2 separate regions of the Mus musculus genome follow, and region 2 is reported to be linked to region 1. Evidence: microRNA targets listed by miRTarBase, many of them from high-throughput screens and not tested one by one. Region 1 holds a microRNA gene; the other region holds the end of a gene's coding sequence.
The links. The annotated mature microRNA mmu-miR-215-5p reads AUGACCUAUGAUUUGACAGAC and lies in region 1 at 2,368-2,388, opposite strand. An mRNA with a match to its seed (bases 2 to 7 or 8) in the 3' UTR can be bound and repressed. Matches are read on the target gene's strand: a 7mer-m8 pairs with bases 2 to 8, a 7mer-A1 pairs with bases 2 to 7 and ends in A, and an 8mer does both.

Region 2: the mRNA of Lyrm9 is a reported target of mmu-miR-215-5p. The part of its 3' UTR that is shown has no 7-base or 8-base seed match.

Annotation. Positions count from the first base shown.
Region 1 is chr1:185,311,846-185,315,997 of GRCm38, reverse strand. Mir215 (microRNA 215) reads right to left here and starts at 2,417; the gene lies at 2,306-2,417. Iars2 (isoleucine-tRNA synthetase 2, mitochondrial) reads left to right here. Exons shown (of 23, transcript NM_198653.3): 12 at 1-104. Mir194-1 (microRNA 194-1) reads right to left here and starts at 2,679; the gene lies at 2,613-2,679.
Region 2 is chr11:78,838,704-78,842,703 of GRCm38, forward strand. It overlaps Lyrm9 (LYR motif containing 9), which reads left to right. Exons shown (of 4, transcript NM_001076681.2): 4 at 420-4,000. The coding sequence ends at 437. Among named protein-coding and RNA genes, the nearest start is that of Lyrm9, 14 kb to the left of the region's middle.

The DNA.
Region 1 (4,152 bases):
ATGCTGGACAGACGGCCGTACTGGTGCATATCCCGGCAGAGAGTCTGGGGGGTTCCCATTCCTGTGTTTCATCATAAGACAAAAGATGAATATTTGATCAACAGGTAATTCTTTTCTGATTTTTATTGTTTAAAATGAGTTATGTTTCCATGGAAGAACGGTGTTTACCATTAAGAATCCGTTGTTACTGTCCGTTGCTCTGGGGCTTTGAGATGGCCTTTCATGATGAAGTCCAGGCTGCCCTCAGAGCCTGGGTCCAAGTTGTTTGCCTTCCTCAGCGGGATTACAGGTTTGTCCCGATGTCCTCCTCGCTCTCAGCTCTGTCTGTCTCACCAGTGAGCACTGGCTGCTCTGGCACAGTCTCACATTCACGGCAGTCCTCCTGCCTCAGCCTCCCCAGTGCTGGGAGTAGAAAGTCACACTGTTGCTGGGCTGGATGAGCCAGCAGTGAGCAAGCCTGAGACAGGAGCACGGGGTTAAGGCTAAGTCCGCAGTGTGACAGCGAGCGAGTGAGGCATTCAGAGGGCTGATGTTCCCTCAACCCCATGACCATGAGGATGCTGTTGGAGTTTGCAGTTTCTACGTTGTTGCTGTTAAGGTTTTGTTGTTTGTGTTCCCTCCCTTCCTCTCTCTCTCTTTCTCTCTCTCTCTTTCTTGTGCACCCCCTGGGATTAAAGCCTGTGCCACCATACCCAGCTCCTAGTTGCTGTTTTGATAGATGTGGAAAGGGGACAGCTAATCATTTCTGTAAGAATTCATTGTAAGTTTTCATTTCCTAAGACTGCTTTGACTTTATTTTGGTTAATGAGATTTTACTCAACTATGCTATAGCATCAGCGACATTGGCTGAGTGTGATTTTGTTAGTTCAGGATCTAGTCAGCAGTTTCGAGGGGCAGAGGCAATAAGTGATGGGTTGTTTGTTGGTTGAGAGACTGTAGGCCCAGACTGGCGGCCCTTCCTGGGGATTCCTTGGCGTTGTTGAGATGATTTGGTTTTCACTGTTGCTGTGATTGTATGTGTTAATAGTATCATTCTGAGTGTATGGATTTTAGAAGTTTTAAAAAATGTTAATTTAAGTTGTTGTTTTTTTAAAAAGTCACGTATGACCACACAAAGGATAGGTTTGTTGTTATCTTTAATAATTTTGTGCTAGGAATTATATCAAGGCCCTGTGCATTCCTGACCACTGACTTGTATTCTAAGCTGAGGGCAGGGAAGAGTGCTCTGCGGGAGGCAGGGTGGCAGTGTGTGCTGTGCGTAGGAGCCATGGGATTCCAGGGCTGTGAGAGGGATAGAAAGGCAGTCACTAAGAACTGGCCGGGGGCTGGAGAGATGGCTCAGCAGTTAAGAGCACTGACTGCTCTTCTGAAGGTTCTGAGTTCAAACCCCAGCAACCATGTGATGGCTCACAACCATCTGTGGTGAGATCTGAGGCCCTCTTCTGGTTTGTCTGAAGACAGCTACAGTGTACTTAAATATATATAATAATAAATAAATTAAAAAAAATAACTGGCTGGGACAGGCTGAAGGAGTCTTGAGCACCACACTAGGGATTTTAAGAAGTCTTTTTCAGGCTAAGCATGTACAGGCTAGATTTGTAAGACCATTTGAGTATTGTTATAGTTTAGAGTTGACTCTGCTCCAGGATTGTCCCTGTGTGGCTCTTACAGAACTCAAGAGTTTTTTCAGTTATATTTCACTACTATCTTAATACATCTGTTGAAAATGAAATGATTATAGTTGAGATAAATTCACACAAGTAAACTTAAAGCCAGTTGTTTCTTAGTCCTCAGCTATCAGAATGCAAGACTTTGAGGGCATTGCCTTGAAGTGAGTGCGGTAGGATGAGTATATGTTATTAAAATTAAGAAGTAAAACAGATTTGGCTTTTATTTGTTTTGTGTGCAGGGGATTGATTGAACTCAGGCCCTCTCAGACGTGAATACACACTGTATCACTGAGTCGTATCCCAGACTTCAGCAACTCACATTCCACCACTGAGCTGTATCCCCACACTTCACCAACACAAACTCGACCACTGTGACATACCCCAAATTTTCAGCAACACACACTCTACCACTGAGCTACACCCTCAGACTTCAGCAGACTGGTGGAACTGACAATTGTTTTCAAAGTGAAAATGTACACAGATTGAGCAGTCGGTGAGTGAGATGAAATAGACGTCAGCTTTCTCAGGTACACAGAAGCACTCATTTTATTTTGTCAGCACATTCTCCTGCCATGCTACAGACTCTCCCGTGATCTGCTGCACAGCGCTCAGAGGGTGTTTGCCGATGTCCGGATTTTAAGTAGCAGTGACATACAGAATATTGGCCTACAGAATGACAGACATACACAGCTGCACGGTCTGTCAAATCATAGGTCATTCTCCTGTACACCGTTGATGCTGAGAGCTCCGTGCTCCGTAGTCTCCATGGCTGGGTCCTCTGCTGACCTAGCACTTGAACTTGAGAACATTTACATTCTTAAGTATTTGTTAGTTAGGAAACAGAATGAAGATCATCATTCTTTTTCTGAATCAAATGATAACCAAGAGCCCACCCAGAAATGTCTGCCCTTCCTTTTCCATGTTTGTAGCCGGTTGGAGGCCATCAGAAGTAACAGCAGCTCCACTGGAATCCGAGCACAGTCCACATGGAGTTGCTGTTACACCCGATGACTCCATCAGTTTGCCGGATGGGTCCTTAGCTTTAAAACACTACTCCCTCGGTGTGGAGGAGTCTTGAGGATTGAACCTGGAGCCTGGTGCATCCCAGGCAAGTACTCTACAGGAGACTGGAGCTAGCCCCAGCCCTCTACCTCTTCCTGGTGTGTGGTGGGAGTGGTGGCAGTTTGGGACAAGACCTAGCCTGTACCTTGCAGTCCTGCCTCAGCTTCCAGGGAGCTGAGATTCCCGGTGAGCTCTGCCGCGCCTGGATTTTCTGCTTCCTGGACGAGAGTCTGCGAGTTGCCTCTAAATATACTTACTTGTTTCCCAAAGAGAACCTGGGATTCCTCGTGTCCCAAATGAGTTTAAAGACTGACAGAATTAAACTCTGGACTCAAACTCTGACATGTCAATTTCATTTATAGCTTATGTTCGCTTCTTTTCCTCAAGAACTTTTAATGTTAATATCATTGGCCATTTCCTGAATCTGTAATATAATCCCCGTATAATTTAGGTGGCAATCTAGTCCCTGGTTAATGAAAACAAGTTTTGTTTTGTTTTTTTTTTCGGAGACAGGGTTTCTCTGTATAGCTCTGGCTGTCCTGGAACTCACTCTGTAGACCAGGCGGGTCTCAAACTCAGAAATCCACCTACCTCTGCCTCCCAAGTGCTGGGATTAAAGGCGTGAACCACCACTTCCTGGCAACAAGTATTTTTTAACATAAAATGGATAAAATTTAGAAACATTGGCCACCTAGAGAAGACAGGAAGCTGTTGATGGCGTTTCTTTCCTTATTTTAGACGTATGTTGTCACCAGCACTGTTGACTTACGCGCTAAGGTAGCTTAGAGCCAGCCTCTGGAAACCTGTGGACTTTATGTTCAGTAAGTAAAGAAAGCATCCTAAATCGTTGCCTGCTGCCTCTACAGCCTGCGCATTGGACTTGGTGGGAACAGGCTCTTCCTTCTGAAGCTCCACCGTGTTCTTTGTCACATTTAGACAACAGACAGGAACTCTTAGCCTCTTACCTCGTTCTTTCCACGGTCACTTCCAGCAGAGATCCTGTCCTGTGCCTTTTGCTTATAAAGAGAGAACAGAGGACCAAGAGGACAGCAGCGGCTCCTTACCTGGAAGTCCTGAGTGCTTCCTGCTTCTCGGCTAAATAGCACATGCTGCTGATAGCAGAGCCCGGGTGATTGGCTGCCGTCAGAGCTGCCCCACTGCCTGGGTTTTCCCTGATGGAAACCGAAGCAGGAACACGGAATGCGTGACAGATAAGGCCTCTGAGTACAAAGTTCTAGTATGGTCTGACTTATTGCTCTGTGAAATACAGCATTAAAATGGAAACAGACTACAGAGTGATAAGTGGTTTCACCCACTTTTATCAACAGTAATTTATACTGGTCTTTAGGTCATAAGTCAACTGTGTGCTGAAGTATAGAATATTGTTAATAAAATAAAGAGAATTCTTGAGTTTGCAAGG
Region 2 (4,000 bases), not on the chromosome of region 1:
TGTAAAAACAGATTTTGATAGGGCATTGACCTCAGTGGTCGACTGCTTGCCTAGTGCAGAAGCCGCTGGGGCTTATCCCTGACAGAAAAATCAAAACAAAGGCAGGAAAGCCTCGATGATTGGCTGGGGACCCTGGGTGTCTGAGGGTCTCCTCTGCCTGGGACTTTTCTCCCACAAACAAGATTCAGAATAAGGCCGAGCCCTGGTGAGTTCCATGCTTAGTCCCAGTGCCCTCGGCCTCCCAGCCTTTTCATTAAAGAAGGAGGGCCTAGGCACCAACTCGATGTGAAGGTGAAGGGTCTCCCGATGGAGTCTCACCACCTCCCAGAAACCCCTGCAGTCGTGGAGAGGCCCGTGTGACACAACAGAGCCCTCCCCCATGGCTTCCCTCACCCGTCTCTCATCTCTCTGTCTTGCAGTATAGGAAACAAAACTGAGTGTCTGGAGCTTACGGCGAGCGCTTAGCTGCCCTGGAGTCACTTGGAACTGAGAAGCCTTCTGCTCTTGGAACAGCATCAGTTCTGGAATATTCTTTGATCTTGTTGGCTGAAAGCAAGAAATCGTAACTGACATTTGGTGAGGTGGTTCTCGTCATTGCAGCCATGTCTCCAGCGTCTTTTATGTCTGCTTTTCCAGACAGAAACGATATGCAATTTGGGGAGAATTTGGAGTTTTTTTGCTTCTTCTCTGTGTTTCTCATTTTTGCCTATCTGTTCTTTTACTTTGCCCTGAAGGCAGTTAATTTATTCTGGAGGTCCCGTCACCGATCTCCCAGCCCCATGAGAGATGTCCCCTCAGATGACCACCTGTATAGAAAGAAACGAACGGGCTTGAGAACCAGGCAGCTGTGGATCTGAATCCCAGCCGGCATACACGCCATCTGTCAGGTGCCCGAGTGAGCCTGGGGGGGTGAGGCGGCAGTCACGTGCCAGCTCACACCAGCTCCCTGCACAGGGACCTTGCTGCACAGGGACCTTGCTGCACAGGGACCTTGCGAGGAAGCCGCTGTGCTCCTCGTCCTGTTCAGTGACTCAGCTGTGAGTGCGTCTTGTCTCCTCTCAGAGTCCACACGCCCTCTTATCTGTGCCATGCTGTGTCCGTCAGTCTGTTAAGCAGCGGCTTCCTCCCAATATGCTCCAGGCAGAAACCCTGACCCTTGAAGTGGGAAAACATCTACTACACTAGACCAGCAATAAGGTGCAAGTAGGCAGGGTAGACACCAGCAGGTCCAGGCTTCCGTGCTCCACAGTGTGTCCTCTCTGGAGAGGAGATTGGGTCCAAGGGGAAGTGGCCCAGGTGGGCGAAGTAGCCAGAAGATGCAGAGAGGCCACACTGGGGGTTGAATGTTCGTGGGGCACTCAGGTGAGCTAGTGCCTGTCTGTGCCCTTGCAGTTCTGCGGGATGATGTGACCTCTGTCTAAGCAGAAGGGGCGGACAGTCCCGAAGCACGTGTGTCCACTTGTGAAAGCTCACAGTTTTCTTCCTCCTCTTTTGATTTATTTCAGACAGGATCTCAGTGTATACACTGGCAGGCCTTGAACTTTTGAACTTTCAGCAGTCTTTCTGTCTCTGCCTCCCAAGCACTTAGATACAGGTGTGCCACAACACATTGCTGCTGCTGCTGCTGCTGATAAATGCTCGTCAGGACAGTTTGCAGGATGCAGCTCACTTCTTCCTCTATGTGGGTCCCAGAGACTGAACTCGGGCTATCAGGCTTGGTGGCAAATGCCTCTATCTGTTGAGTCATCTGTTGGCTCTTATTATTTCTTCTTTAAAAAAAGAAGATCTTTATTTTATTTGTGTGTACCACGTGTGTGCAGGTGCCCTCAGAGGCCTGAGGACATTGGGCTCCCTGGAACTGAAGTTATAGGCAGTATGAGCTGTCTGATGTAAGTGTTAGGAACCAAACCTGAGTCTTCTGCAAGCAGTTAGCGCTCACACTCACGCACACACTCACGCTCACGCTGAGCCATCTCTCTAGCCCTCTATTGTTTCTCCCTGACTGCTGTTCTCTGAATAGGATTGTTCCCTCGACACGTGTGTCAAACAACGCTAAGGACTTGGGTAAGTCAGACACCCACTTGCCTGGAAGGATCATTCCTCAGAGACAAGCAGAGCCACAGGTTTGGGCTCCCAGATGACTGCCAGGCAAAGGGCAAGAGCAAAGCCGCAGTCCCTCCATCCCCACTGCTGCTGTCCAGTCCATCTGAGCCCAGGGACCAATCCTTACCTGGTGGTGTTCGTGGCAGTAGAGTAGCCATGTGTGCCACCATGCCTGGCCTTAGGCAGAGTTGTTCATTAGAATGGGGCTGAGGAGAAAGGACTAACACTGATTTGAGGAGCTGGGGCTGCCACTCACAGGGAGTGTGAGAGGGGTGTGGGGTCCCGTTGTTATGAGGGTGGTTTCAGAGAACACAATACAGATCAGTGGCCAGGTTATCCCTATGACATAGGACATTGACCTGTATCTGGTGGGGTCTCCCTATTGATAAAATAAGGGTGGAAGACGGGCTTATTTCATTTGTTGAAAGTGAGGGAGAGGGCTGAAGAGCAGTTAAGAGCACTGACTGCTCTTCCAGAGGTCCTGAGTTTAATTCCCAGCAACCACATGGTGGCTCACAACCATCTATAATGGGATTTGGTGCCCTCTTCTGGTATCTGAAGAGAGCAATAGTGTACTCACATTTATAAAATAAATAAGGCCGGAGCAAGCAGGGCCAGAAAATATATAAACAAAAAGAAAAAGGAAAACATAAAGAAAAAGGCTACTTTAAAAAAAAAAGAAAGAAAGAAAGTGAGGGAGAAAAACTGAATCTCCATGAATGTGTCCTTAATATTTGATCCCTCTCCAAGATGTCTTCTCCAGTCATGTGTGTGTGTAAGTGTCCACATGTATGTGTGTGAGTGTCCACACACACATGTGCCAGTACCTGTGTATACCTGTGTGTGCACAGGGAGAGCAGGGGTTGATGATGGGTTGTCCCCTCTGTTGCTCAGTACCTGGCATTCTGAGGCAGGGTCTCTCCCCACAGGTCACTGATTGATGAGACTGCTAGCCTGCAGATTCTGGGGGTCTAACTCATGCTCTCTCCTGCCACACACACACACACATCACCCGGGCCTCAGGTGTGTGCCAGTGAGCCCAGCTTTTCTGTGGGCATTAGGGGTCTGAATGCAGATCTTACTCATTGTGCTGAGCTGTCTTCACAGGCCTTTCCTTCTTGTTCTTAAGGACCTGGTGGCAGGTGGAAGTCTGACTTCAGAGTTGCTTTGCAGTTGCTGGCCCTACTTGATGGGATGGGGACAAGAACGGTGGCACGGGCTCTGTCTGCAGTGGGTAGACCATGGAGTGGCATCAGTTTGATATGGAAATGGCAGTGTGGAGAAGATCCCCTCCCCAAGCATGTTAAGTTAGCATAGGACCGAAGTCAGTGGAATAGCGGCCAGTGATGGCTCCCAAGTGCCAGAAGCCAGGCACAGATGGAACAGTATCCAGTGCCAACCTCCATAGGTGCCTCATCTCACAGGCTGAGGCCATTCTGCTCCTTGAATATGATTGGCTACAGGTCCTGGCTATTGACCTAAGTGCAACAGGTAGAATCCAGGCGTATGCACACCCTTCTTTGTTCTATTAATAAGAAACCGAATTCTCTCTGGTTTTGTTCGAGTATCGGTCAAGGAATTTAGTGAGAGTGGGGTGTAGGGGAGCCAGCTAGTGCATCTCCTGTGTTTTTGAGGGCTTTAGTTAAGGATTGTAATGTGACCTCATTGTAAACAAAGCTACCCTATCAACCAAGAGAGGTAATTGGCTCCTGCAAGATTTAGCTCCTAGGGGCTGGCAAGATGGTTCCAACAGGCACTGCTGTGCAAACCTGACGACTGGAGTTTGATCCCCTGATTCTGTGTTAAGGAGCAAAGAGAACACCAATGCCTCTCACCTCCACATGAGACACGTGGCATACACACACCTGCGTTCACACATCATGCACACACACAGTGA